Linked DNA regions of Arabidopsis thaliana. The protein of the gene in region 1 interacts with the protein of each later gene in a pairwise test. Each region holds a gene or a part of one and is shown in the gene's direction. Other genes may lie near its edges.

Region 1 (7,166 bases):
TGCCTAATTGCGGTTAGTTGGTCATTATTGTGGTTGAAAGAGTCTTCTGAGATAATGTAGGTCAAGGGTTATATTATCTATTCCTCTCCATGGATTGAGACTAAATTTAAATACTCATCTGCACTTAAAAGACATGCTTTACGGACAATTAATAATGTACTACCATGATTGAACTGTGAAACATGCCAGTTATAGAGGTTGTTTTTTGCTTACATTTAAGCATTTATCTTGACCTGTTCTGAAAAGGTTGCTAACTCATAGTGTAACTTATTGTTGTTGGTTATGTTTTCAGGAAAAGGATATTAGCTTAAGTGGGGAACATGTTAGGGAAGGATTGACCTGCATTGTCTCAGTCAAGGTTCCGAACCCTGAGTTTGAAGGTCAAACAAAGGTACTAGGGAGCATAATGATATGTTGACCCTCATTTTTGTCAACAATCTCTGGTCAGCAGGCCATAAGTTTTCTTGGATTCTGTTGATCATTTTAATTTTTTTGTGTCCCAAAGACAAGACTAGGAAATCCAGAGGTGAGAAAAATTGTTGACCAATCAGTCCAGGAGTACCTCACGGAGTACTTGGAATTGCATCCGGATGTACTTGAAAGCATTATTTCCAAATCCTTGAATGCGTACAAGGTGCGACATTGAAATACCTGCTCATACTGTCACATCTTCACCTACACACACATGCACTCAAACACTCAAACATGTGTTTTATCCCTTGAGAAGCATTTTCTGATATCTGTGATTAGCGTATTCTTTGATTGAGTATGTGTCTCCTACAGTATGTCTAGTTACTAACTTCAACCAAATGACCATGGATTTTCCTTGCTGACTCTTTCTTTTTAGGCTGCTCTGGCTGCCAAGAGGGCTAGGGAGTTGGTAAGATCAAAAAGCGTTTTGAAGTCATCCTCACTTCCTGGGAAACTTGCAGATTGCTCATCTACAGATCCTGCAGAATCTGGTATGCATTAACCAATATGAAAGTGCCTTGTAAGCTGTGAAAGTTAGTCAGTTTATTGACATCTATCTCCTATGCTACCAGAGATTTTCATTGTCGAAGGAGATTCGGCTGGTGGCAGCGCGAAACAGGGTCGTGACAGGCGTTTCCAGGTAAAAAAAATCATTCTGCTCAGCGTGTCACTAACAGGCTCTGCTTCTATTTTGTTAGTCTGTAACACTGTATTTCGATCTATGCAGGCAATTCTTCCTTTGAGAGGCAAAATTTTGAATATTGAGAGAAAGGATGAAGCAGCAATGTATAAGAACGAAGAAATTCAAAATCTTATTCTTGGCCTTGGTCTTGGAGTTAAGGTAATATATCCTTTTTCATATCCTGCTGTTTGTTGGTATGTTCGGAAAACTCAGTTTGACATAAAACTTATTTCAGGGAGAAGATTTTAACAAGGAGAATCTGCGTTACCATAAAATTATCATCTTAACAGATGCAGATGTTGATGGTGCACATATCCGGACACTTCTGTTGACCTTTTTCTTCAGATATCAGGTACTAGTTTAGTTTGATAAAACATTAGTTGAAGTAGCCTTGATTGCTGATTGAGTTATGTGAAATTTAATGAAATTTACTTTCTACAGAGAGCCTTGTTTGACGCGGGTTGCATATACGTTGGTGTTCCACCTCTTTTCAAGGTAAGCTCTTAGTATCTATAATCTTATGCTTCAGATTGAACGGAATTTTTTTCTAAAGCTAGTCTCTCTGTGAAAACGATCAGGTTGAGAGGGGGAAACAGGCGCACTACTGCTACGATGATGCAGCTCTTAAAAAAATCACTGCTTCGTTCCCTGGAAACGCATCCTACAACATTCAGAGGTTCAAAGGTAAAACATCCTACTTCTCACATCATGAATGTGTTCTTTTGGAAAGGATAAATAACTATGAAAAGTAATGTATAGTAGTTGTTATGTGTTAGCTATTAAGATACTCTTGAGTGTGTGCATAACGAAATCTAGATTAGTCTCAACTATTGGATTCTATGTAATGTTTCTTGCTTTTGCATCTGCAGGTTTGGGTGAGATGATGCCTGCGCAGCTATGGGAAACAACGATGAATCCAGATACAAGGATATTGAAGCAACTAGTTGTTGACGACGCAGCAGAAACGAATATGGTCTTCTCATCTCTGATGGGTGCTCGGGTAAGCCAATGAATTGCCAGACTCGGACTCATGATAATAGTCAATAAACTGGCATAACTCATCGTGACAATGTTATGTTCTGTGTATGTTTCAGGTCGATGTCAGGAAGGAACTCATCAAAAGTGCTGCGACTAGGATGAATCTGGAGAATCTCGACATATAACACAGCTTATAGTTATTGCTTCAGCTATATACAAACAACAAAGAAACGACTCTGGTGAAATGCAAAGGGAGACATCATCATTTCAAGGTTAAATCATATAGTCACAGGCCAACAGGATTTTGTTCTTCTTCTGGCCTATAAAGGACAAAATTCATTGTTAGGATTATCTCTTTCAATGTCAAAATTTAGCAATTCACAAGGCTCTTTGTTGGGCGTTTCTTTCCATTGGAACTAGAATTTTTCTAGAGACAAGAGAAATTTGCATTCACTAGGTATTTACTATATATTATGACTTCAACAATTTGGCATTCCTGAAAATCATGCATGCGACGAAGTTAAAACTAATGATTAGAAGGAAGATGAGAAGGTAACTATTGTGCAATGAATATCTTCTCTGCCTGTTGTATTGATTTTAATTGTATTCGAGGTTAAGTTTTGACTGATGTTTTACTAGCGATCGCAGAGTGATCGATAATTAACAAGTTTATTTTTCGATTTGGTAGGTATATAGTGAATTAAACATGATTTTTGTTCTTCCTGAACAACCTAAAGCAGTGTTATGAACGCATCACGCATGTAACAACCAGTCAACCATATTAGTGTGACTTTAATTCATTGAATAAATGAAATTTTTTTATTTTCAACAAGGCTTGTAACGGTTGATAAATCTACTCAGAAAACTTCTTTTTGTTTGTCTTGCAAATACAAACGATACGTTTCAACTCTTTTTTTGGCGTCCAATAATACTTCTTAAAAAATAATTTGTTTATTGTCATGAGCTACACGTGGGAAGACAAGTCCTATCCATTATTACTACACACTACTCCAACATTTGCCCACATTTTGAAAAAAACATTTTTTTGTAATTCAATTATTCGACACAACCAATCCCATCTCTTGTTTCACTTCCGCCCTCCATCTTTCTTCGTGATTGAGAGAATCTTCAACGAAAGAAAGCAACTTTTTTTGGGTGAAATTCACAGAACAACCAAGGTTTTTCTTCTTCTTCTTCTTCTCCAGTTCCTACAGGTTTACTCTTACTCATCTTCATCTTTGTCTCGTTCTTGCTCTTCAATTTCTGGTCTTTTTGTTGTTCTTGTCTTCTCGCCAAATATACTAAGATCTAAGTTTTATATCATTGTAATTATCACCAACGAACTGTTAAGACCAAATTTGATTACTCGAAATGGTTTTGGGTTTAGGGTATGAAGAACTGATCAAAAGATTCAATTTTTTATGAAGTCAACTTTCATCTGCAAATTGAGCAATCTCAGATTTCGATTGTGTTTCAGAATCATGCCTGACAAGAACATCGTAGAGGACGTTATCGGTGATTTGGTGGATAACTTCACGGAGACTGTTCAGAAGAACAAACATGGTTCCTCCTTCTTCGAACAAGAAGATTCCGTCAGTTCTCGTTTCAACCGTTTGTTTGATCGCCAGAAGCCAATTCATCATGTCTTAGGCGGTGGCAAATGTAAGAATTCGTATACAGGAACATAAATATGAGATTGGTTTTTCTTGTAATTGAGTATTGAGAGATTCCTTCAGCTGCTGATGTGTTGTTATGGAGGAACAAGAAGATCTCTGCAAGTGTTTTGATGGGAGCTACCGCAATTTGGGTGCTTTTTGAATGGATCAATTTCCATTTCCTGTCTCTCGTTTGCTATGCCCTCTTGCTTGGTATGATTGCACAATTCGTTTGGTCTAACGCCTCTGGATTCTTAAACCGGTAACTTGTTGGAGTGTTGTTGTCATTATTATTGGTACCTTGTGATTGCAATCTAACACAATGTCCTTTAATGTCTCAAAGCAGCTCACAGTCTAGAGTGCCTCGCCTAGTTCTTCCAAAGGATTTCTTTGCTGAAGTCGGTGTGGCCGTTGGAAAAGAAGTTAACCGCGGTTTGTTGTTTCTTCAGGACTTGGCTTGTAAAGGGAATTTGAAACAGTTCCTCATGGTGCGTTGTTTGTTTCAATAACCACAATCTTGTTTGTATAATGTATTAGCACTTTCATTACTATGCTAAGATAGAAACTTTGATCACAATATCATTTTTCAGGCTGTAATCGGACTATGGGTAGCTGCAATGGTCGGGAGCTGTTGCAATTTCCTAACTGTTTTGTATATCGGTGAGTGGTTCTTATTAGTGTATCCTCTTTTGAGATTGGAAGTTGAGTAATACAAGACTTTAAAGGGATGCATTTTATGTGTGTGTGTGAAGGGTTTGTTGGGGCACACACAATGCCGGTTCTGTATGAGAGATACGAAGACGAAGTGGATGGTTTTATGGATTCTATGATCATGAAGTTTCATAGTCATTACAAGAAGCTTGATACTGGGTTTCTCAGTAGAATCCCAAGTGGAAAGTTTGGATTAAAGAAGCGTGAGTGACTAAATCACTCAAGCATTTTCTTATTTTACCTTGTTTGTTGTTAGAACAATATGGATTATGGTTTGCTAAATGAATGTTTTGAGAATATTATTCATTCATGTAGATTTTGTGTATTTCCTTACTAAACAATACCTTGTCCATGTATTTGTCAATACCTTGGTTAATAAGAGAATCATCATATCTGTCAAAATTATACAAGTAGATTGAGAGTTCATTAACTCAATGTCTAAAAATGTAAGACTTAAAACAAGTTTGAATCAAAATTATTTCACAAATCAAAAGTATGGTTTTCTTATTTCGTAAGAATCGTTGACTAATATTGACCGGCTGGCTAATAAGAAGATCAGATAACTCTACAGGTATGGGATCCACCATTGTCAAACATTTTACACGTGTCAGCTTCCTGAGCTTCGAAGCCTGAATGTTAAAATTAAAAAATTTAAAAGAAAGAAATATAAAAAGAAGTAAATCAAAGAAAATGGAGTAAAGAAATTGATCCACGATCGATCAACAAAGTGAGGTTAGGTTCCATCTCCACCTCTTTCTCTCTCGAATCTTCTCCGATTAAAGGTGCTCTTTTGCTTATGAAATTTGTGTTTCTTAAGCTAATCGAATTTGTTTTCTTGATCGTTTTGATGTTCTTTTTTTTTTTTGTTATTGTTGTTGATTTGATGTGATCCGGTTGTATTTGAAGACGAAATCGATTCGAAGTGTTGAGGTTTAGTTTGGGGTAAAATAGATGATTCTCAATCTGTTCTTATTTGTGAATTATTTTGTATTTCTGATTCTCTGTTTTTTTCTGTTTTTTTTTGTTTTTTTTTGGATTTGAAACCTAGAGAAAGAACCTTGTTTCATTAGTGGGAGATAAAAACCTCTAATGATTTGATATAAATTTTTGAACTTGTACAGATTCGAATCGATTTCCCTTGTACCCTCTCTTAATACTGGTTCTTGCCTGACAGGAACAAGGTCTGGTTTACAAAAGTCTCATAGATGTCGAGTGGAACAGTGAGAAGGGTTTCACGTCAAGATATACAACTGGTAATAACAACAAAAATAGATCATGATGAAGGAAGGCCTTTGGTTTCATTGTCTGAATCTGCGACAATTTGAATTCGTCCTCTTCCAACTCAATAAAACTTACTTTTGGTTTCAGGTTCAAAACCTTATAGAACGATGCCTTCAACTTTACATGAATCAGAAAGAAGTTGTGGATACTTTACTAGAGCAGGCTAAAATCGAGCCTGGGTTCACAGAACTAGGTAGCCACTCAAATACTCTGTTTTCTTTTCATAGAAATTAGCATCTGATTCTGTAATCCTTGTTCATTGATGAATCTGGATTCATTACTGTGAATGAAAAGGTATTAATATATCTATTACCAGTTCAGGACATCTGTAGCCAAAATCATGTGTGAATGATTTTGTTGTTGCTTAAAACTGAAATCTTATGTATTGTTTGGTTCAAGTGTCACCAAGAAGGTCTTATTGGTCAGAACCTAGTTAGGAAGTGCTCAATAGATCATGAAATATGAGAGAATATGTATAGTAGTGAGTATCGATGATAAAAAATGGGGATTTATGATAACACGCTTTCTTTTTATGTTTAAAAGTTTGGCAGAAGCTTGAAGAAGAGAATCGGGAGTTTTTCAAAGCTTACTATCTTAGGCTAATGGTTAAACACCAGATAATGGAATTCAACAAGTTGCTTGAGCAGCAGGTTCACCACATGCGTCAGATGCATCCAACTGGTGTTGCTTCTGTCCAAAACACAAATGGTTCTCATCTTCAATCAAGTAAGATTCGTTTGGAGTGAGATGGATTTTAATTTCTGCATTTTAGGGTCTCTTTATTGCTTGTATACTTTTGCTATGAATTGTTGTTCAAGTGTTGTAGTAAACAGTCCTCATATGCATTGTCTTGTTTTCTGGCTTCCACTTTTGCTGCCTTAGTTCTTTTCAAGGTTTCTTTTTCCTGTGAACATTATGTGTTTGTTGTTTTCCTTAGATTAGTCATTCATTCAAGTCGCTAACTGATGAGTATTAAATAGCTAATCTATGTGATTTTCTTAACAGTGAATCAGAAACAATTATGCTATCCCTCTGAGCACACTGACCAATCTTTGAAGTCTGAAAGTGCACATCATCCAATGGCTTCTAGTCTGTCTAATGCATTCCTCAATGGCTCTTCCACACTCAATACAAACGTGCCCTCTTCTATAAACATATCAACCCATGCTAGGAGAGTTGATGCTTCTCCAAATATGCTCTCATCGCAGACCACAAACATGCCTATGATGCAAGGAATGAATGGAGGAATGATCAAGTCTGAGACTGCCTTTACAAACCCTGCTTCATTCATGTATGGTGGCGAACGGAATGCCCTCGAAGGACATTCGGCAGTTGGGGATACTTCGATTCCTAATTTCAGTAACGAGTCCAACAACCAACCCCTCAGT
Region 2 (6,630 bases), on another chromosome or scaffold:
GCTTTATTAATGGTTATACTTTTCTATTTTGTTGTGTATTCTAATTATGCTATAGAGAGTTACATGTATATAAGTATAAAGTTGCGACTTGTGATTTCATTTACCAGTACATACTCAAATGTATAATTGATTAGGTAGATTACATGTCACAATACTCTGGATCGGTTGATAAAACAACACCATCCAAAATCACATATAAACAATGATTGATTGGTTCTTCGTTATTCAAATTATATGTGGTAATAATAATGATGATGGTGATGGTATAAAATATATATAGAGAGAGATTTAGTATTTAATCGATATCTAATTGTACATTAAATGTTTTGTTAATTATCGTTGTGAATGTAGATTTAAATAACATGAAATATAATTTGTAAGTTTCTCGTTATAATTGTCTACATCATAATTCATAAGTTTAACCTGTGGCATGTAATTCAAATTTTGTAGTTAATAAAAGAAGAACCAAAAAAAGTATAACAAAGTTGTGATGTGAGGAATGTTGACTTTAGATTTGGTTGTAGCATATTGTCCATTCTAGTTTTTGGAGGTCCTTCTAATTGCACCATACCAGAGTTTGGAAGTATTTCCTTTATTGCAAAAACAGAATTTATAGGATCCATATTCATCCTTTCGATTTTGACTTTCTACAAAAAAATGTGACCAATATTTATTGATCAACTAAAAAGTAACTATATGAGATCATGATATCCGACATTGTTTGTGTTAAAGTCGTGTTGTCACTCAAATTCAGAATATGTATATTGTTGATGAAAATAAATAAACTAGGTCATTATGGGTGTTGTATATCAAATTAGTTGATTATTAAGGAAATTATATATATGTTTTTTATGATAAAACAAAATTCAGAACACAAATGGTCAACTAACATCAAAATTAATAAACTTTATGTTAAAAAAAAAATGAGAAATCACTTAATTTTAAACAAAAATTTCCAAAAACATTATTTATTAAGAAACAGATGGAATAACTAATAAACACTTTTTCTCAAAAAAACAAATATTAATAGAACACTTAAATGAAAGTCGTGTAAGAAAGAGGCATGGCAACAAGAAGGATTAATTTTGGTAATTTACCTTAACCATAGTGTTGTTAGTTTGTTAGATGTTCGGTTGTACTAAGCACCAACACTACAACCTTTTCTGTTGGATTCTACCATCCTTATTTTTAAAAATTCTAACATCAATAAAAGAAAATATATACTCATTTTGTAGAAATACATTATTGCGTCTATTGATGTTACTAAATTATAAAATTGATCAGAATATAATTTAAAAATTAAAACTGTGATAATACAATGTCATAATAAACAAACAAAAAAAAACACATCAACATTTCAGCAAATAACCAAAAATAGACGTTCAACAGTCATGGTCGACGCCAAAATATCAATTATTATTGATGGACATATACTTTTCTCTAACATTACATAATCTTTGTATAAACTAAAGAAAATAGAATGAATATTCGTAAGAGACCTTCAGTAGATATCACATATAAAAAATGTTTTGAGTCTATGTTCTTGCTTTTACACATATGTACGGTCGAGTTCCTTTTTGTTGGAGTAGCTTAGAATCAAACATTATAGCTCACTTTATAAAATGGTTATAACTCCAATTATTAGTAGACTAATACCTAATTACAAGTAGACTTTATACCTATAACTATTAAGATTATTCCATTTAAGATTTTAGCAAGCTTTTTCTAGATTTATTTCTCCATGGACTATATGTAGATTTATATAAAACAAGAAGATGTGTTACCTGGTAAACGTTAAACCATTCAACTAAAAATAGATATGAAAATAAAATTGCAAATTTCCAGGTGTATTTTCTCGTTGATTTTGTTCGTCTAATGGAAACTCAATAATAATGGTTCACGCTTAAACTATTACCATATGCCATTAATTAAAGTATATTATTGCGAGTGGATATATTTCTATATATAAGAAAATCAGAAATTTCAAACAAGGAAATGGAGAACTCCCTAACCACCAAGTCCAAGTCAATAAGACTGCACACCAAATGCATGCCACAGGTTGGACAAAGTTTGATGATTTCTTCTATCTAATTTCCATTTTCTCTTGATTATTTTAAAATAAATTATTAACTTGGTTAACATATTATTGTATTGGTACAAGAACACAATTGGTAATTAATAAGTATTCAAGTGTTCTAGGATAGAGTTTTTTTTTAAACATTCTTATTTTTCATTAAAGCTAAACTTAGTAGGTTTGGTAAGCATATATATGATCAAGTCGCCTCAAGAAAAGTTAATAGAGTTTGGAATTTTCTCACTCAAAAATCATTTTTGTTGTTTACATTATGATCAAAAGCATAACAAGAGTACCATTTTTACCAATATAAATTTGGTTATTAAAAACTTTACTCTTTTGAGCTCTTATCATTATTCAATTTCTTGAAAGCTAAGCCTCCAGTTTCCTCAAACCTATCATTATTAAGCTTTCAATTGAATACTAATACATGACTCACTCTGTCACAATTTAATATATATATATATACACAAACACACATATATATATATACAATGGAGTGTATAGTAAGCATCCAAAACCAATTAAATCACTAAGCATATCACACAAGTAAAAGACTTTTCTAGAATATATGTATAAAAATTAAATCACGAAAAGGAAATTCATTTATCCTAACAACATTACCTACGAAGCAAATCTATATTATACCCAATAAAACCTAACAAGGAGGTGTTATGTATTATTTTACTCACACGAAAGATTCTATTCCATGCAAAAAACTTTGCTTCACAAAGAAAAAGAAGAGTTTTAATTTGATTAGTTTGTCTAAACAACTCCTCATCTTCAGGCAAAATCGGTTGGCCTATCTCCATTCTCTTCTCTAACACCCAACCCACAATTAAATTTTAGCAAAAAAATATATAAATAATATAAAAATCATTACATATTTTATATACATATATATAGATGACCTGCATTGAGAAAACCCTTTCAAGATTTGGTGGATCATTCAAGAAACACACATATTCAAACTTCTCCAAAGAAAAGAAAATAGCAAAAACTAGAATGAAGAAGACAATGGAGGATCCAAGCAAGATCATGAGAAGGTCAATTCACACTTTCCTCCAAAACTACCACCGTGTCACCACCGCAGCCGCCGTGGCCCTCCCTTTCTCCGCCGGTCTCCTCCTCTCTCAGCCTTTCTTCTCTTCTTCCTCTTCCACCCTTCACATGAGGCTTAACATGCTCTTCCGCGGAGCGGGTTTCTCTTCTTCTCATGACTTCTTCAACATCTTAAGCCTTAAACTCTCACAAACCCTATCTTCCTCTTTATTCACTCTTCCTTTCTCCCTCACATTCCTCCTTTTATCCAAAGCTTACGTCATCAAACTTCTATCAAACAATCACTCTGCAGATTCCTCCTCTGTTTTCTACCTCCGGCTTCTCAAAACTTACGTTTGCAACTTCTTCTTCCTTCTCTCTGCAAACGCCTCTGCTTTTGCTCTGTTTTTCTTAGCATACAATACCCTTGAAGCCTTTGGATTCTCTTCAAGAAACTTCTACACTTTCCTCTCCCTATCCTCAGCAATCATCTACTCAATTATCATCGCAAACGCCTTTGTCATCTCTAATCTAGCCTTGGTTTCATCACCTTCTTCTTCCTCGGGAGGATACACAAACATCCTCAAGGCGTGTCTTCTGATTCGCGGAAGAAATTCAACAGCAATGGCTCTTGCTCTGCCTACCAATCTCGGCTTAGCAGGAGTCGAAGCCTTGTTTCAGTACCGAGTCATGAGATCTTATTACAATGGAGACAGAGATATCATATCCATAGCTCTTGAAGGAACCTTCATAGCTTACTTATACGCTCTCTTCTTGGTTCTTGACACCATAGTCAACTTCCTCTTTTACCAGAGCTGCATCAAAAACGAGGAAGATCAAAATATCGGTAGAGAAGACGAGTATTCAATCAAGATCCAAATCAGCGAAACAGAGAACACAAAGATACACATCAAAGGATCAAAGAACTTGCAAGAAATCTTGTGACTCTCTTGTGTTGGTTGATGTAATTATTACTTATACAAAAAAAGTGAAAAACTTTATGAGATTATTGATTCTTTAAGGATAATCTCAAGTAGCTTTCACTTCAAAGAAGAGCAAAGGTACACACACAGTAAAGAACAATCACAGGATCTGCAAAACTTTTTCTTCTTCCTCTGTTTCTGCTTTTCTTTATTTTAGTCTCTTTTTTTTCCACATTGTAAAGTCAAATATACCAGAAATTTTAATTAATGCAAATCTTGGAATTCACATTTGGTTAATCCTACAGTATAATTTCATTGCCGACAAAATATATTAATTAGCAATGATTTTGATTACTTCCTTAAGTTATGAAGATGTTGACTAGATTCACACTTTAACAAGAGTGAAGAGTCTTTTGTTTTTGAGCAAGGATAAGTTCAAGCAAAATCTTTCATTACAAAGAGAGAAGAAGAAATGTCACAATTATCTTTAAATAGACGGTAGAGGCGAAAGCAATTGAACTTTTTGTATTTTTCGTTGAATGAAAATCCTAATAATACATTGAAATTGTGTTAATGATAAAAGCTCAACTTAAAAAGACAAAAAATGGCTAGTGGGTGGTCTACATCACTAATCTCTCTACTTGAACCTCTTTAACAAAAAGCCCTTTAATACAATAGTTCAGTACTACCTAAAATTTCTTCTAATGGAGAAATTATGAATGAATCTAATTTACTTTTATAGGTTAAAAAGAGTGGAATCCGGAAATGTTGCATCTAAAGAGATCAAGAAACAATTAAGCACAAAAAGATGAATTTTATAACAAGCAAAATTTTGTAGCTTTCCAAACATACAAAACAATGTAATCATTCATGGTCCATATTTAGGAATTAGGATCAAGGGTTTATAATCCCAGGTCCGACCGACCGAATCGTATAATCTGGTCCTATCAAACCAAAATTAAAACATTTAAACCGGATTTTTGGTTGAACCGGCCGGTTCATGGGTTAAGCGAAACCTCTAGGGTTTTAATATTTCCAGAGTTGGTTGAGAGCTTCTTCTTACTTTTACTTTTCCTCTGCTCGTAGACAGCTTTGTGCTTGAGACGATTCCCAGTTTCTGCGATTCCAAGTCGAAGATATAACCTCTCCTATTTGCGTCTCAGCTTCTACAGAGCTTTTAGGTAAGCTCCTCTGCTTGTATGATTCCTTTTAATTTTCAAAATTCACTGCTTTCTCTTGCGTATCTGCTCAAAGTCTCTCCCTTTTTCATTTAATCGTTTCTCTTCCTGAAACATTCGAACTCATAAACTAGTTTGATTCAAAAGTTTTCTTGCTTTAAACTTGTGTTAGCTCTAGAATGTTGTTCTTTGTAATCTGTTTGTGACATTGTGGTGGAGATGATGAATGTTAAAGTAAAAGGTCTGAGCAGGTTATGAGTAAAGTGTGTGGCTTTTGATGTTTAATTTAGTTACGAGGAGTCAATCTTTGAACTTTATAGGAGAGGGCCCTTGTCCATGTCTTGAGCCATGGCATCTGTGGCTCCGCAACCTCTCCAACAATGAACCTGATTTGTGTGTGCAATCTGATGGGTCGATTTTTAAAGGCTTGGGGTTGCTTTCTATCATTGATTGTCAATCTAGAATTCTCCCTATATACATTTGTCTCCTTGTGCTTCCTTATCACCAATTAGCTACCCTCGTGATTCTGCACTGATCAAAGACCCTTTGACTGATCCACGTGAGCTGTTTTTATGAGATTATCTATAGGTCTCTGTTTTTTTTTTTTTTTTTTTTTTTTTTTTTTTTTTTTATGTTTGAAGCTTTTGACAAAGCTTGTTTGATGGTATGGTTACCTCATTGTTGCTCTATATTTGGTCCTTCTTTATTTGTTTCAATATTTTTATTGCTTAATCCACTGTATAATAGTTTCTCCTTCCTCAATTGAGTTAGTTTTTCGTGATTGCAGCATTAAAAGTTGTTAAAATGGCTGGGGGGTCAAAGAGGTCTAAAAGAGCAAGACTTGACAGTGAATCGGAAGACATAAGCGACCAAGAAAACCTTAAGGTATGTTTATGTTGCTTTTGTCTCGTTTAAGTTATTTAGATGGTATAGGTGAATTTATTTGGTTGAGGGTTCTCTATATTATAGGCCGAAAGCGACAATGAAGATGATCAATTACCTGATGGGATAGAGGATGATGAAGTAGATAGCATGGAAGATGATGAGGGAGAGAGTGAGGAAGACGATGAAGGAGATACCGAGGAAGATGATGAAGGAGATAGCGAGGAAGATGATGAAGGAGAGAACAAGGAAGACGAGGATGGAGAAAGCGAGGACTTTGAAGATGGAAATGATAAAGAGAGTGAGAGTGGCGATGAAGGTAATGATGACAATAAAGATGCTCAGATGGAAGAGCTTGAGAAAGAGGTCAAGGAGCTTCGTTCACAAGAGCAGTAAGATTTCATTTGAACTAATCATTTTTAAATACTGTTATTTCTAAGATAGTGAATTCTTGTATGTGTTTCTTTCTAGAAACGGTAGATAGTCGTATTAAAGTTTCAACTGTTTAATCTAGATCAGCAAGGATGTTGGC
Region 3 (8,713 bases), on another chromosome or scaffold:
TACCTGGAGGGAAGAGTTTCTGGCATAACTAGTTTTTCCATCTCCTCCTGTCATGTAAAACTCTCTCTCCATATCCTTCTTATCCATCACAATAACAATAAAAGTGAAGAAATTTAGTATAATTTTGGGTTAGGGTTTGTTCTTTTGGTGTTAGAATTTGCTTTTCTTAAAGGAGAAATCTTTGGCCTGTCACTTCATTCTTCCATTACCCTACCTTTTTTTTTGTGTGTTTACTTTTCCATCTATTTTCTTTCTTGAAAATACGATGTGGGATTCGTTCATCATTGGTCATGATTCAACGAAAATAAATTTTTCTTTGGTTGGATGAATTTAGTTTAAGGAGAAATGGCAGGTGTAGTCCAAAGTGACCAAAAATAGGAATAAACAAAGTAGAGGATAATGTTTCATGTAAATATAAAGGATAAATTAGTCAAACAACATCATGATGGCTTCATGTAATGTTTGTACTTTCTTTACTCTGTTCTTGCTATCAGTGCTAGACTCTGTTCTTGCTTTGCGTGGTGGACTCTATTGCCATTTCTTGTTTAAGGACTTTTATTCGTTTAAACATAAACTAAATTTCATTAGAAAAATTACCCTTGCTAGAATCTATTTGGTGATTTATATGAAAAATCGTGGAATAGAATATGGATGATATTTTTAATTGTAATGTAAATGTTTCAAAACATACAAAAAAGTATAGGAAACTTTGGGAGATAGGAGGAAGAAGACTGATTGACTTTTGAAGGTAGAAAAAGCTATACAAGAATGAGTGATGATGATTGGTGTGTGTGTGTGTGTGACCACCATTTCCTTCTCTTTTTCTCTCTTTCTCCTTACCGTAAGGCTTTTTTAGTAATCTTCTTTCTCTCTCTGCCTTGCCTTCAAGATTTTAGTGGTGGTCATGAATGCTTGTTGCGTCATAAGGGTAGTGTAAATGCTCTGTTAGGTGAGAGAGACTGTGTGTTGGTACTTGGTATGATAAGGTTTTTGTGGTTAGAGAGAGGGCCGAGGGGGACGCACGCGTGTCGCTTGAGGGATTAATGCAAAACCGTAACGTATCAATCTTTTTTCTTCATATAATCTCTTCTTCAACCATGATCGTCTCTCTCTTGTTGCTTACGTTTTGTTTTTTCAAGTGTGGTGAAAAGTTAATCACTTAAAAGTTAGTCATTGGGCCTCTAACAAAGCCCATATTTAAAACCTAAGACCGTTCCATTAAAATGACGTCGTATCTAAGCAACTAATTCGTGAGATGTAAATATGAATATGATATGATACTATGGTTGAACAGAATAGGAATAATATATGTATAGTGTAATGTAAATGCTACAAAATATTACAGAAAAAGTAGGGGGAACTTTGGGGTCGAATATGATTACAAGAAGGTTAGAAAAAAGCTAAACAAGAATGAGTGGTGATGATTGGTGTGTGTGACCACCATTTTCCTCTTTCTGTCTCTTCCTTACCTTTAGGCTTTAGTACTCTTTCTTTCTCTCTTTGCATTGTCCTTTAAGACTTTAGTGGTGGTGATGAATGCTTACTAGTGACTGTGTCACAGTGTGTGCTGTTGAAACATTGGGCCTCTAGGCCCATATCTAACACTTAAACGGCGTCGTATCGATGAACCAACACACAGATCTGGGCCCAGGATTCTACTGACGTATTACGAACATAGACAGATCCGCTCGTCTTCTTCTTTTACTTTTTTTTTTTTCTCTCTGAAATTGATTTTTTTTTTTTGCCGTCTGCGTTATCAAAAATCTCGAAAAAACGTTGAAAGTCAATCTTTTTGCATCGCCGAATTTGAACAACACTCCTCGTGTGTTTGACACTCTTGTGGGCACGATACCTTCTGCTCCTTGTCCATTTTGCCACCCAAAATCCAATTGGGATCAGGTAACGTTCCTCGTTTATTTGTCGGATCTATTTGTAATCATATATACTTTCTTAATCTGTTCTCCGAGATTTCGATTTCTCGTTGCTCAGTGATCCGATGCCAGATCTTTCCTGATAGTTTTTTTTTGGGTCGAATTTGGATTCAAAATTGCCACTTTTTGTTGTGAATTTTGAAAATTTGTAATACTAATTGAAGATTGGGTTTTGTAGGTTTTCCCAAAGTTGAGCTAGCTTCTCTTATGCTCGATTCGTCGAGCAAATTAATACTATAGAAGAAAAAAGTACAGAGCTTTATTAAAGCAAATTAGCAATGGCTTCGAATCTCGTGGAAATGTTTAATGCTGCTTTGAATTGGGTTACTATGATTCTGGAGAGTCCTTCAGCTAGAGTTGTCTTGTTTGGTGTCCCAATCCGAGGTATAGATTTGAAGAAACAACTTTAAGTGAACTTTGTCTGTCTATCCAAGTTTGTTGGTTATTTGAGATTACTAAAGATTTCAACTTTTTTGTTTTTGTTTTCGTTTTCCAGGGCACTTCTTTGTGGAAGGGTTGTTGGGTGTTGTCATTATCATTCTCCTCACTCGGAAGAGTTATAAACCTCCCAAGCGACCATTGACCGAGCAGGTTCTGTCTCAGATCCTTTCTTGATATTGGTTTGATAGATCACATAGGATTTGGTTCGTGGTGACATCTTTGATGTGTGGTATAGTTGAAATGTATTGAGTTTTCGGGGTTTTTTATTACTCAGGAAATAGATGAGTTGTGTGATGAGTGGGTTCCTGAACCTCTTATACCGCCAATTACTGAAGACATGAAGCATGAGCCACCAGTTCTTGAAAGGTAACGTAGAAGACTTCTATGTAGTTCGTTGTATAGCCTTATTCTGTGTTATGCTTAAAGATTTTGTTGGGTCCATACAGTGCTGCTGGACCGCATACAACAGTTAATGGAAAAGATGTGGTGAATTTTGCCTCAGCTAATTATCTTGGGCTCATTGGCCACGAGAAGTTGCTGGTAACGTGAAGCTACTTTGTTTTCAATACAATCTCTCTTCTGTTTGAATAGTTTTATTTAAGATTTGTCTTATGCCAGGAATCATGTACTTCTGCATTAGAAAAATATGGGGTCGGTTCTTGTGGGCCTCGTGGATTCTATGGTACAATTGGTAAGAAGACAATAATTTTCTAAATAGATACTTTGGTTCATCCATTGGCTCGCTTGGAAAGGGTTCTTACTGTTTGATTACTTCTCTTGACTAGATGTCCACCTTGACTGCGAAACCAGAATATCCAAATTTTTGGGTACTCCTGATTCAATCCTTTACTCTTATGGACTTTCCACAATGTTCAGCACAATTCCTTGTTTCTGTAAGAAAGGCGATGTCATTGTTGCGTAAGTACACAATTTCTTATAACATCGTTCTACTTATTAGATTACGTTAGTAGAAATCCCAGGATTACATTGAACATCTTTGTTTGAAACTTTTTTATCTCGATATTAAACTCATTCTTGTCTTTTCTATTTTCTTAGTGATGAGGGTGTTCACTGGGGAATACAAAATGGACTTCAGCTTTCAAGAAGTACAATTGTGTACTTCAAGCACAATGACATGGAATCCCTTCGAATTACCCTTGAGAAAATCATGACAAAGTACAAGCGCTCAAAGAACTTGAGGCGTTATATTGTAGCTGAAGCTGTATATCAAGTACCTGGCAGTTTTCTTTCTTCTCCTGCTTCCATATTTTGAAAATTCTCCCTGAACTGTGATGCTTACCCATTTGCCTTTGGGTATGTTAAAATCTACAGAATTCAGGTCAAATTGCGCCTCTGGATGAGATTGTAAAACTAAAAGAGAAGTATCGGTTTCGTGTTATATTGGATGAAAGCAACTCTTTTGGTGTGCTTGGCCGTTCTGGGAGAGGTCTTGCAGAGCATCATAGTGTCCCTGTAAGTATGATTGACACACATTTTAGTAGTGTTCTCATTTGCCAAACCTGATGCTAAAAATTTCACGGCGGTTTATCTTTAAACAGATTGAGAAGATAGATGTTGTGACTGCTGCAATGGGCCATGCATTAGCCACAGAAGGTGGATTTTGCACTGGGAATGCCCGCATCATCGATTACCAGGTAAACATCGATCATGCTGATTAACTAATTACAAACAAAATTAAAAAACTACCGATAATAGAAACTTTTCTCTGGGACGCTCAAATGCACAGAGACTTAGCAGTTCAGGATATGTGTTCTCTGCTTCTTTACCACCATACCTTGCAAGTGCTGCTATCACCGCCATTGATGTCATTGATCAAAACCCTGATATGTTAGTTAAGCTGAAGCAAAATGTTGCTCTGTTATGGAAAGGTTTGATCTTCAAGTTTTAATCTAATCTAGCAACAATTAGAGTTTGATTTAGTTTGTTATCTTCCTCTAATTGAAAAAGAAATGCTGGGAACAACGCAGGATTGTCAGATATCAAGGGGATGTCATTAACAAGCAACCGGGAATCACCTATTGTTTTCTTAAAATTAGAGAAATCTAGCGGTTCAGCTAAAGATGATTTGCTTCTACTTGAGAAAATGGCTGACCGTGTAAGTTCATTGTTTCTTTGCAAAACCAAATCTAGACCCTGTCCCCGTTTCTTGACATGACTAGATGCATGCAGGCTCTGAAGGAAGACTCATTGTTGGTTGTGAGTTCTAAAAGATCATTTCTTGATAAATGCCGGTTACCTGTGGGAATCAAACTCTACGTCTCAGCGGGACATTCGGAATCCGATCTTCTTAAAGCGTCGGAGTCACTGAAGAGACTTGCTTCAGAGCTTCTACTCAAGTCCTGAAACACCGAAACTCTTTTTTCTTCAAGAACAACAACACTGAAGGGAACTCTTTGAACACATCCGTGTGAGATAGTAGACAACAGAATCCGCAGAGTCAGTAGCTTGAAGATGTTCATAGCAGATTCCTAAACTGGTTCTCCACTTTCAGTGATGGGCTTGTGGTTGATCTGAAGCTCAATTGACGAAGGAGGATTATCGAAGACAATGGCTTCTTGTTCTTACATTTATTTCATTTGATCATCTGAGTTCTTTTTTTTTTTTTCCTACTCATACCCTTCAATGATCAAGTAGCTTAGTGTTGTTGCCGAAATTCAAAAACTTTCAATTTATGGGAAACAAAAAAGTTCATGTGCTGACATCAGCCTCTTAAGGCTTTCTGAGTTTCTTGCGGTAAAAGAAAGTGTTTTTGCCTCTCTCAAATCTCAATAGTATTGACACGTGTCAGTATAACACTCGTGCATAATTGACACGTGTCAGTATAACACTCGTGGGCGGTATAATGTGAACGAAAGAGCGAGGGACAGGTAATCTCTCTTCCTCTGTTTCTAAGTTTGTATAATTAGAACTGCATAACGAAAAACAAAAACAAAACAGTGACCAAAAAAAGAAGAAGAATCAATGGTTGGGGAAAGAGAGAATATGAGGTGGAGCTTTACCTCGACGTTAATGGAGTTGAGAATCCAATGGAACGATTTTGAGAGATTTTCGGAGCAATCTCACTCTCCTTTTATCTTTCTCCTTCCTCTCATTTCCTCTTTGCAGAGGTAATTTATCTTTTAATTGTCTCTCTGTTTTGTTCTGTTTTCTTAACTTCATGTTCATCGTTATCGTTGTTCGAATTTGATTTGTAATTAGGGAATGTGAATTTCTTACAGGAATTTGGCAAAGGGCATTGGCTAAAAATAATAAGACACTCGTTAGAGTGCTCGTCCCTCGTGCCCTTACCTGCCTAATTCCAACTATCTGGCAAAATCATGACTTTGATCCAAGGTATAGTAAACAAAAATGAAGAGATTTTTTAGTTCTCTGTTTTGTTATCTTCTTGTTCTTGATGTTGTTTTGTGTTTAGATGCCGAGTTGAAACCAAGGATGGGTTCTTTTAAGAAGAGGAGCTCTTCTAAGAATTTGAGGTATTCAATGACAAAGAGAAGAAGAAGTAGCAAAGTGATGTCTGTGGAGATCATCGAAGATGTGCATGACGCAGAGGAGTTGAAAGCCGTTGATGCTTTTCGCCAATCGCTTATTCTCGATGAGCTACTCCCGGAGAAACACGATGACTACCATATGATGCTTAGATTTTTGAAGGCTAGAAAATTTGATCTTGAGAAAACCAAACAGATGTGGACTGAAATGCTTAGATGGAGGAAAGAATTTGGTGCTGATACTGTCATGGAGGTATGATTATTATTCTAGAGGAACGTTTTGCAGATTTGAAAATGGTCTCTTTGAGTAGTACTAACATTCTCTTCTTTGGTTTTGTATATTTTTAAGGAGTTTGATTTCAAGGAAATTGATGAAGTGTTGAAATACTACCCTCAAGGACACCATGGAGTTGACAAGGAAGGACGACCTGTGTACATTGAGAGGCTTGGTTTAGTAGATTCTACCAAGTTGATGCAAGTCACAACCATGGATAGGTATGTCAACTACCATGTTATGGAGTTTGAGAGGACCTTCAATGTTAAGTTCCCAGCGTGCTCTATCGCCGCGAAGAAGCACATTGATCAGAGCACAACTATTCTTGATGTCCAAGGAGTGGTATGTAAAAAACCTATGTGAGAAGACCTTCAATGCTTTTCCAGTATGTGACTAAACATGCCTTTCCTTGTTTTTGTTATAACAGGGACTGAAAAACTTCAACAAGGCTGCTAGAGACTTGATTACTCGTCTTCAAAAGGTCGATGGTGACAACTATCCTGAGGTGTGATTTATATCTCTGCATGCTCAATTCTTTTCCACTGGTCTATGAACCAGTAGTTTAACTTTGTAACGACTTTGGATCAGACCTTGAACAGGATGTTTATCATCAATGCTGGCTCAGGATTCAGAATGTTGTGGAACACGGTTAAGTCCTTCCTTGACCCGAAGACTACAGCAAAAATCCATGCAAGTATTCAAAACCTTTTACTATTGAATCTTCTTCTGAATGATAATTAGTTTTCACAATTTAAGTAATTATACTTTGTTTGAATACCAGGTTCTTGGCAACAAGTACCAAAGCAAGTTGCTTGAGATAATTGATGAAAGGTGAGCTATGCAAGACGATTAGCATACAAATTAATCTATGTTATATATTATATAACATGAAACTGATTCTTATTAATTTGTGACCAGTGAACTTCCTGAGTTTCTTGGAGGTTCATGTACTTGTGCTGACAATGGTGGCTGCATGCGCTCTGACAAAGGCCCATGGAAAAATCCAGAGATCATGAAGGTGAATGATTCTTAAGACAACTATAGTGACAGCAACATAAATGACAAGAGTGAACTTGATTTTTCATTTTTTCTTACAGAGAGTTCACAATGGTGATCACAAATGCTCAAAAGGATCCCAAGCTGAAAACTCTGGAGAGAAGACCATCCCTGAGGTCTTTGCTTACTTTGAGCTTATCTATATCTCTTGAATAGTTTCCTTTACCTGAATCTTGATCACTCCTTCCAATGCTAATTATATTCAATGATCTTCCAGGAAGATGACTCTACAACAGAGCCGGCTTCTGAAGAGGAAAAGGCTTCAAAAGAGGTCGAAATTGTAAGAATGGCCAACCTCTAAACTCTTGATATCAAGTTCGCTTTTAATACTTAATCGTTATTCGTTTCTCGAGACTCAGGTCCCGGCCGCTCACCCAGCTTGGAACATGCCAGAAGCTCACAAATTTTCCCTCTCAAAGAGTAAGATGATGACTCTTGTGCATCTCTTTTTCTTGCAATATGGTTGTTGTATGTTAAAGCTAAGACATATGGAGCTTTAACGCTTCTTGTACTTTCTCTTCTAAGCAGAAGAAGTTTACGCCATTCAAGAGGCGTGCAACAACGCTACAACAGAAGGAGGGAGGTCACCTATTTTCACAGGGGTCATGGCTCTTGTGATGGGTGTTGTCACTATGATTAAAGTGACTAAAAACGTCCCAAGGAAACTAACCGAGTCAACCTTGTACTCGAGCCCCGTGTACTGCGATGATGCATCAATGAACAAGAGTGCGATGCAGTCAGAGAAAATGACTGTACCTGCAATCTCAGGGGAAGATTTCATGGCCATTATGAAACGAATGGCTGAGTTGGAACAGAAAGTGACCGTCTTAAGCGCGCAGCCAACAGTTATGCCTCCGGATAAGGAAGAGATGCTTAACGCTGCCATTAGCCGGTCCAATGTATTGGAGCAAGAGCTTGCTGCCACCAAGAAGGTACATACATTCTGAATCATTAAGATAAACTTCCTCCATTAAAGTTCTTTTTAATACTAATTTTCGTTACAATGCAGGCTTTGGATGATTCTCTTGGTCGTCAGGAGGAGCTTGTGGCGTACATCGAGAAAAAGAAGAAGAAGAAGAAGCTGGTAAGTCTTTCTTTCATTAGACTCTTGGAACTTGAGACACAAGCCATCAAGTCTTGTGCTTTTTTCACATAACCTCTATGACTGATCTTTTGTTCTGCTTGTTCTTGGAACAGTTCAACTACTGGTGAGAGAAGAACCATGAAGCGAAGGCTTAGTGGTGGCTTTATTTGTTTGATTGTATCCAAAATATCTCTGACCAAAATCATCAAAGCCAAGCTTATTGTAAAACCAATTTCTTGTGTTTCTTATTATTAAAGAATGGTGAAAAGAAAGAAAGTTTTGTTCTTTCTCTTGTGTATATTATCAAAATACCATGTACATCAAATTGCAATTTTCTTTTGTAGTTTCCTACTAGTTTAACTCACAAGTATATAATCAGAAGCGGTGGTTTAGTAATTATCAAATAAACCCATGAGTGAAA
Region 4 (7,470 bases), on another chromosome or scaffold:
TGTAAAATCCATTCAAATCTCACCTTAAACCATGAGATTTGGATTTCTGTATTTTTGAAATCCTCTCAAATCTTCCAAAATCATTAAAATTCAAATCCACAAATTGTTTTCAATTACAATGGATTTTAAGGTGGATTTTGAAATCATTAGTTCAATAACACTGAATTTCATGAGAATTTTTAAAATTCATGTTTGAATAACATTGGATTTATAAATTCTACACAAATCTCTTAAAAGTTGAAATTATTTGCTTCTAAAAGCGTTCACGTGGGATTTAAAACAACGAATCGTGAGTTGTCACATCAATAATTAACATATTTAACATCTAATTAATTAACATTTTTTAAAATAGTAATTAGTTTCTATTTTAAAATAACAAATGTTAAATTTAAACTTATAAAAAAGGAAGCTAAGAAGTTATAATTATGTAATATTACCCTTATAGGATTTTACACAACTAATCCAAAACAGACACATCATAAGTTAATATATTTAAATCTAATTAATTAACATATTAATATATATTTAACCAAATTCATTTCAAAAATAAAATTTAATGCAATTTAATATAATTAATTAAATTACCAAAATTTAAAATTGCTTTATATATTAAAAAATCTATACTATAGAAAAAATTGAAGCTATTTGCTTTTGAGGCGTCCACATAGGATTTTAAACAACGAATTGCAGTTGGACATGTCATTACTTACCATTTTTTGCCATTATGTTAGTTTAAATTTTTAAATTTTAATAAATTTATATACTAAGATATTTATGAAAAGTAAAAAAAAGGATATGGAAATAAGAAAAATTATGAAGAGAGATCAAGAAACAATCGTACGAAAGCTCACAAATTGAAGTCCTCAAAGTAAGAATTCTTATATATCATTTGAACAACGAAAATTGAAAATTAGAATTGTATTTTTTTCTTTTCTTTTTAATTGAAAATCCTACATATATATTAATTGAGATTACAAAAGTGGGTTATCATCTTAGTATCTTTTTTTGTCAACCAAAAAGAAATTTAAGAGTCATGTCATTATTGAATATCTATGTGGAATCTCAGATTTTTTTTAAGTCTTTAAAATAAATATGACCAATTAAGTTTATTTTTTATTATTTAATATTCGATTATATAATATTAATTATTTAAAAATCATTATATTTTGAATCACATTTTTTGTTTCAATTGGTAATCTTGTCCGAGGGAAACTAATGAAGAAACTATATTATTACTCTTAGTTTCTCAAAGAGTTTACCATTTGAGAGCAAATGTTTTGACATGGGATGCATTTGAAACATGTCAAAATACGAGTCCGGTTTCAAATGTTTGTTTGTATATTTGTCAAAAGTCTACAAGAAATTTTAGAACCTTAAGAATTGGTTGTGTTTTTCCTTTTTGGCAAAACCTCTTAGAGAAAGAGAAAACATATTGATCTAAATCTATCGATCCTAATTTCTGATTACCAAATGTTGTATGTTTATTTGGTGAGACAAGTTGAAATTTTTTGCTTATAGTCCAATAATTTCTTTTTTTGTCAACTTATGTTATTTTTGTGGTTATGGCTTCTTCATGACTGCTTGTCTTCGTTCATTGCTTCATTTTCGGTGACATTAAGGTAAAGTTTTGTTGTTAAGGTGTTTCGGTTAAGGTTCTTGTTGTGAACGTTACCTACTTGGTGCATTGACTTGGTTGCCAAGTGTTGAAATGATGCGGTGAATAAGTCTAATTGCTATCGCTAATTCGATGAGCTAGTGTAAAAAATCCACGATTGCTTATGCTTTTTTCCATTAGTTCTCGGAAAATCTGTACGCTTCTATCTTCAGGTTTTGAAGACGGATCTTGGATACTTAGGCTTGTGGCAACTACGATGAGGATTCCAATTCTTCAGTTTTGCTGCAACCACGCAAATATCCAAGCTTCACGAGCCCGAAATCGGTAATTCTACTTGTTACTTGTCCATAACCACTAAGCAGCAAACTTTTGTATTTTGTGTTGTTTTAAAAAAAATTGTAGAGCTTTACAGTTAGTTTCAAATTTTTCTAATTATTATGTCAAATATATAAAGTGCTATAAAATTTCACTTTTTACCAAAAAAAAAAAGATCAAACTATTCGATGTCCTTTTTCATAAAGTAATCAAACTTCAACTACTAAGGTGTTATTCGTTTGTTCATCCAAATGGACCATCTAGATGAAGACATAAAATTATGTTCGTTTAGTGCACTTAAACACATCATTGAGATGAGCCATCAGGATGTATTTGTCAAACTCATCCAAAAAACATCCAAAAATTTGGATGAGTTTAAATGGTGTAGTCAGATAGAGATGATTCTTCCAAAAATTGCAAATATTCAAATTTCCCTCAATTACAATTGGGAAAAATGTCATTTAAATCATCAGTTTACCATTTTCGTTGGTTTAAAGGATGAACTCTAGACATAGTGATTTAAATTCCTAATTTTATGTTGACTTTCAATTTAATCACGAACTCTCGTTAACTAAGTCAATTAACGCACATCGTTAGAAATTCCTTAATCAAAAACCCCAAATCACCAAAATCAGTTTTCAATTTTTTCTCTCTTTTTTTCTTCGGATTCTCTCATCTTCTTCTTTGAATTCAAAGTAATTATCGTCTCTAGATCGACTAATGGCGTAAAAACGAGAGGATTTGTGCCTCAATTGGCTTAGTCAACAAGAATTCATGATTAAATTCAAAGTCAACATAAAATTGAGGATTTAAATCACCCGGTCCAGAGTTCATGCTTTAAACCAACAAAAATGGTAAACTAATAATTTAAATGACATTTTTCCCAATTATAATTATATATCAAATATTGTTAATTTCTCATTTTATATTTAAAAATTCTATATCTGCACTAATTTTCTTCCAAAATATCGTAAATCACAAATTATAATTTTCCGTTAAAATTGCAAAATTGCGTTTTACGAAAATCTTAAAAAGCTTGTTTCCGAACAATTTTTTTGGGTCAAAATTGTGTTTTTTGCGAAAAAATTGCATAATAACATTTCAACGAAAACAAAAAAATCACGATTTTGGCGGAAAAATAACGGAATTGTTTTTCACTATGACCAGAAAAATTGGAGAATAAAGTTTTTGTCAAAACCTTTCAAGTCGTAAATTTCGCTAAAACCGTAATTCTGCCAAAACTATAAAATCATGATTTTCACGGAAAATTATGGAATTATCTTTTCTCATCAAAATCAAAAAATCGAATTATGTTTTTGTCAAAACCGTAAAATCACATTTTTTTCACCAAAATTGCGGAATCATATTTCCTTACCAAAACTGTAAAATCATGTTTTCCCGCCAAAACCACAATATCATATTTTCCACCAATACCGTAAAATTATATTTTCTGCCAAATCATATTTTCCGTAAGAAACACAAAATCTTATATTTTTCGGCAAAACCACAAAATTATATTTTTTTGTCAAAACCCAAAAAAATAATTTATATGTTCAAAATAATAATTTGAAAAATATTTAGTTGTAAATATATTTAAAGCAGTAATTCAATTAATATAGCTAAGACTAAAATTAAAATTAAAAGTTGATTAAAGTATAGATATTTTAGTCATTTTCTGGTTAAAATTATTTAAATAGAGATGAAAATTTATAAAAATTACCCAAACAAACAAAAATTTATTGAATATCCAAAAATGGAAACGAACAATATTTATTAAAACATTTGGATTGAATTTTTTGATAGACAAACCCTTTAACAAAAAAAAAAAAAGAATATTTTGTAGACCAGACCATTTAGATTATAAAACGAATCAAATCATCTTCCTGCCAATTTATTCACGTAATGAAACAGAAATTTAAAGAATGGGAAAACAGAAGGATCACAGTTTCCAATGAGAGTATGCCACGTGACAAATCCACGTAGACGTCGCGAAACTTCTAACACAAACACGTCAAAGAGTCAAAAGAGACGATATAAAATCTACCTTAATCGCTATTTGGAGGATAATTAATTGATCTCTGGAGATTTGCTGTTGACGAATAAGAAGAAGAACCCAGAATTCTACTTTAATGGCGTACGTCGAAGGAGGTATGAGATTCTCTTCTCTCTCTCTGTTTCTTTTCGATTTCTGGATTTCTTTTTTGGCATCAATTTGGTTAAATTCGATCTGATTGTTCGTTTTTCAATCAAACCTGTAATTGTTCTTTCCTTGAACATAGATTCATAACTATTAAGCTTTGATTGTTACAGAATTTGTGAATTTGATGTATATGTAAAAGTTAGGTTTTATATTCCTGAATTTGGATTGATCATGAATCTTTAAATTAGGTCAATTAGATTCATAACTATAGTAATGCTATATTCATTGTCTCTACAGAATTTTTGCTTTAGTATATCTATGAAGTTAGGTTTTATGTGTCAGAATTCGGATTGAGCATGAATGTTTAGAGGGTTTTGAGGTTTTATACGGGATGATGTGTCACCATTATGGGAAACTTTATAGGTTTATGGAAGATGGAAATTAGATAAGGTCAATAATCATTCCATTATTATATGATTCTCAGAAAACTGATATGAATACAAAGCTCGATGAGCATTCCATAGCAGGAGACATTTCTAGACTTTGAATATCTAAATGGCTAAGCTTAAACGAAGTTAAAACTTTTGAGATTTATAGTGGGAAAAGTTAGTGAAAGAGTGTTGATTATGGCTGAGTAATTGTAAGGTGACATTGTTTCTATAAAGTTAGCGTAAAGCGAGATCATGTTCAATAGTTTGTGATCATAGAAGCTCAATTCGATATTAATGTATGACTGTGGACAAGCAACAGCGTTTTGGACAAATGCAATAAGCGCATTAACCGAGTTCGTGTTCTATATTCACGTCTCACGTTCTTCTAGCATTGTAGAGATTTGTCGTCGGAGTTTAGGAGGGATTTTTGGGTCTTATAGGGAATGTAGAAGCTTCTTCAAATCTGTGTATCTTGTTTTTTTGGGGTTTTAATTGATAGCTGGAGATATATTCTGAAAACAGAGATAGATGGTGCATATATTAACTGTATTTGACATTGAAAAACACTGGAACATGTACCAGGTGTGGTTAAAGCGAAGAGGCCAATATGGAGACTAAGGACGATCAAAGATTTCTTCTTGTCCATCATTAATCTAATACAAGTCTTCTTTGTAACCATGTTTTCGGTATGATTCTGCTTTCGTTTCTTGGATTTAGGTTCCATAAGCTGTCTCAAGCTTTGACTGACCTAAGAGTGTTATTGGACAGATGGAGAAATCAGATGCATACAGGAAAGGCTCTAAGCCTAATAAGAAGTGGGGTGGTGGCATGGGTGGCGGTGGTGGTGGAGGCGGAGGCAGTGGCGGTGGTGGTGGTGGTAGGGGTGGTGGACCTCCTCGTGGGGGCCTCGACAATGTTCGTGGTTTGAATGATATCCGTGGAGCTGACCACAGTAAGTCACCCGCGATGAGTTTGATATTTGATTCATTTGATGATAGAAAACACGCATAGACCTTGTGAATGATTTTGACTCAAATCTGATGTTTTTCAGATTCCCTACCTGCATGTGGCTCGTGCTGTGGCTAATCCTTGTTTGTGTGGACAGTGGAGCGCCCAAGAATAAACGAAGGGATATATCATATATTTACATATTACTTAGTGTTGAAAACGATGCTTTTGGAATATGAAAAATCAAAGGAACAATGATTCTGGTGTATTTTGTAATTGGGTCTAATCAAAGCTTTTTGTATTTAGATACTGAGAACGTTTGAAGTCTGAAATTCACCTATAATAGATGTGTCAATTCGAATTCGAAACCTGTGAATAAAGCATAAATGCTGTGTCAGTCATCACACAATTTCTTTGCTTGGTTTTTGTAAGAATCCAAGGTTAATGATGCCAGCAAAAGATTGATATTCCAAAGCATGAGACATTTTTAGACTCTTGAACTTTGCAAGAGTTCACAATTTGAGACTACTCCTAAACTGGACTCTTTTCAACAAAAATCCTCAACGTTTGGTTTCATGAGATAAAAAAAAATGCAAAGGTTTAACTTGATCTTCAATCTGACGGAGTATGTGAATTAGCCCGCAAATCTCTTGCAGCTTGTTTTTTCCCTCTCAAAGCAGTAGCGTATGAAACCTTAACGCCATGTTTTTCTCGAACCAAATCTATGAGGTTTTTCGGTCTTAGTGTATCGAACCCCTCTGGAAAATTCTCTTGCAAAACAGATGCAACTAATTGTGGTGTAGCGACTCTTTTACATCTTCGTGTACTAGTAGTTATCCGAGAGCACGTATGCATCTTGTTGTACGTTCTAACAGACAAACGATCCGAATTCTTACCCTGCGCAACTCGTAGATACCATTTACAACCACTACCACCACGACATTTCAACACGTATAATCCAGGTGATGACTTGATTATAGCAGCCTCAAAATAGTTCAGAAGCTCAGCTTTCTCAACTAAATCTTGAACTTCCTGCTTACTCTCAAACTCTTGACCTAAACTCAAACCAATCCCATCTTCCCATTCAACATTCACAACCTCCTCATCTACTTGTACATCATCAACAAACATCTCATAATTATCCATATACGCAACTCCATCACTCAAATCATTCTCACCATTAACCAACACCGCATCATTCGCAATTCCACTTCTTCGATCGTCTCCCGAAACTTGCTCAATAACAACTTCCACATGCATAACATTCCTCCGCTGATTACTATCACCTTCCATTAAATATCCTAAAACATCTTCATCATCCAAAATATACGTTTGCCTCTTCGGATCCTCTAACAACGGAACGTAACTTAACTTCAACATCGTCGCGGATTCATCTACACTAATCTTCTTGCATACTCTATCAACCAACATGGAATAAGTAAACTCCTCGAATGCTCCTTTCATCACTAAAGTATAGATTTGATCTTCTTTCGGATTCCATCGTATATCATCTCCGTTCTTCGAATAACATCCTCCGTAATCGAAACGTATAATTGTGCAACGACTATCTTTCATTTTCATCTGATAAATTACAAAGAACAATACAATACCAAAATTGGAAACTGAAATTGAAGCCATCGCAAACACAATAACAGAATGAAAGACCAGAAAAAAAGTACCTGGAGATTGAAGTTTAGGAAGAGAGGAGGAGCTCGTGAAGGAAGACGGCGACGACGGAGAAAGTTTCAGATCTGATTTTTTTTTTATCAGCCATTGATCCTAAATTATGAGATTTTTCTTCACACCAATGTTGAACATTGTGCCGTTTTGAATTTCCACAACACAATACCTACCGTTTGTATATTCCTACAATGAACAGCCTGCCGTATTGAATTTCCACAACATAATACCTACCGGAATTTCCACAACATAATATCTACCGTTCTTGTATTCCTATAGTGAACATCGTGACGTTTTACGATCTTCCCTCCTGTATTAAACAGTGTAACGTTTTTATTTTC

What was found.
Region 2: the proteins of AT3G10260 (region 1) and AT5G61340 interact in a two-hybrid assay, tested with the Arabidopsis thaliana proteins (one large-scale study listed by BioGRID).
Region 3: the proteins of AT3G10260 (region 1) and LCB1 interact in a two-hybrid assay, tested with the Arabidopsis thaliana proteins (one large-scale study listed by BioGRID).
Region 4: the proteins of AT3G10260 (region 1) and AT4G08230 interact in a two-hybrid assay, tested with the Arabidopsis thaliana proteins (one large-scale study listed by BioGRID).

Annotation. Positions count from the first base shown.
Region 1 is NC_003074.8:3,168,955-3,176,120, reverse strand, and holds AT3G10260 (Reticulon family protein), read left to right. Parts: upstream 1-3,128; 5' UTR 3,129-3,552; coding exon 3,553-3,793; intron 3,794-3,867; coding exon 3,868-4,048; intron 4,049-4,132; coding exon 4,133-4,274; intron 4,275-4,376; coding exon 4,377-4,446; intron 4,447-4,538; coding exon 4,539-4,708; 3' UTR 4,709-4,899; downstream 4,900-7,166. Other genes in the region: GYRB1 (DNA gyrase subunit B), read left to right, coding at 293-391, 506-634, 848-962, 1,044-1,111, 1,199-1,312, 1,389-1,505, 1,595-1,648, 1,732-1,837 and 2 more; AT3G10250 (histidine-tRNA ligase), read left to right, coding at 5,703-5,750, 5,866-5,971, 6,322-6,504, 6,784-7,166.
Region 2 is NC_003076.8:24,659,494-24,666,123, reverse strand, and holds AT5G61340 (uncharacterized protein), read left to right. Parts: upstream 1-2,906; 5' UTR 2,907-2,980; coding exon 2,981-4,060; 3' UTR 4,061-4,445; downstream 4,446-6,630. Other genes in the region: AT5G61330 (rRNA processing protein-like protein), read left to right, coding at 5,789-5,804, 6,004-6,101, 6,186-6,490.
Region 3 is NC_003075.7:17,216,389-17,225,101, forward strand, and holds LCB1 (long-chain base1), read left to right. Parts: upstream 1-1,520; 5' UTR 1,521-1,899; intron 1,900-1,919; exon of another isoform or gene 1,920-2,028; intron 2,029-2,109; 5' UTR 2,110-2,209; coding exon 2,210-2,315; intron 2,316-2,427; coding exon 2,428-2,522; intron 2,523-2,646; coding exon 2,647-2,738; intron 2,739-2,818; coding exon 2,819-2,912; intron 2,913-2,990; coding exon 2,991-3,063; intron 3,064-3,157; coding exon 3,158-3,290; intron 3,291-3,428; coding exon 3,429-3,603; intron 3,604-3,704; coding exon 3,705-3,845; intron 3,846-3,931; coding exon 3,932-4,027; coding exon of another isoform or gene 4,028-4,051; exon of another isoform or gene 4,052-4,119; coding exon 4,120-4,261; intron 4,262-4,360; coding exon 4,361-4,488; intron 4,489-4,562; coding exon 4,563-4,736; 3' UTR 4,737-5,237; downstream 5,238-8,713. Other genes in the region: AT4G36470 (S-adenosyl-L-methionine-dependent methyltransferases superfamily protein), read right to left, coding at 4-87; SFH12 (SEC14-like 12), read left to right, coding at 5,711-5,726, 5,806-6,131, 6,228-6,494, 6,580-6,657, 6,741-6,842, 6,934-6,983, 7,071-7,170, 7,250-7,324 and 5 more. UniProt on the Arabidopsis thaliana protein: Component of serine palmitoyltransferase (SPT), which catalyzes the committed step in the synthesis of sphingolipids, the condensation of serine with palmitoyl CoA to form the long chain base 3-ketosphinganine.
Region 4 is NC_003075.7:5,186,164-5,193,633, reverse strand, and holds AT4G08230 (glycine-rich protein), read left to right. Parts: upstream 1-3,839; 5' UTR 3,840-4,059; coding exon 4,060-4,078; intron 4,079-5,083; coding exon 5,084-5,187; intron 5,188-5,269; coding exon 5,270-5,453; intron 5,454-5,552; coding exon 5,553-5,587; 3' UTR 5,588-5,849; downstream 5,850-7,470.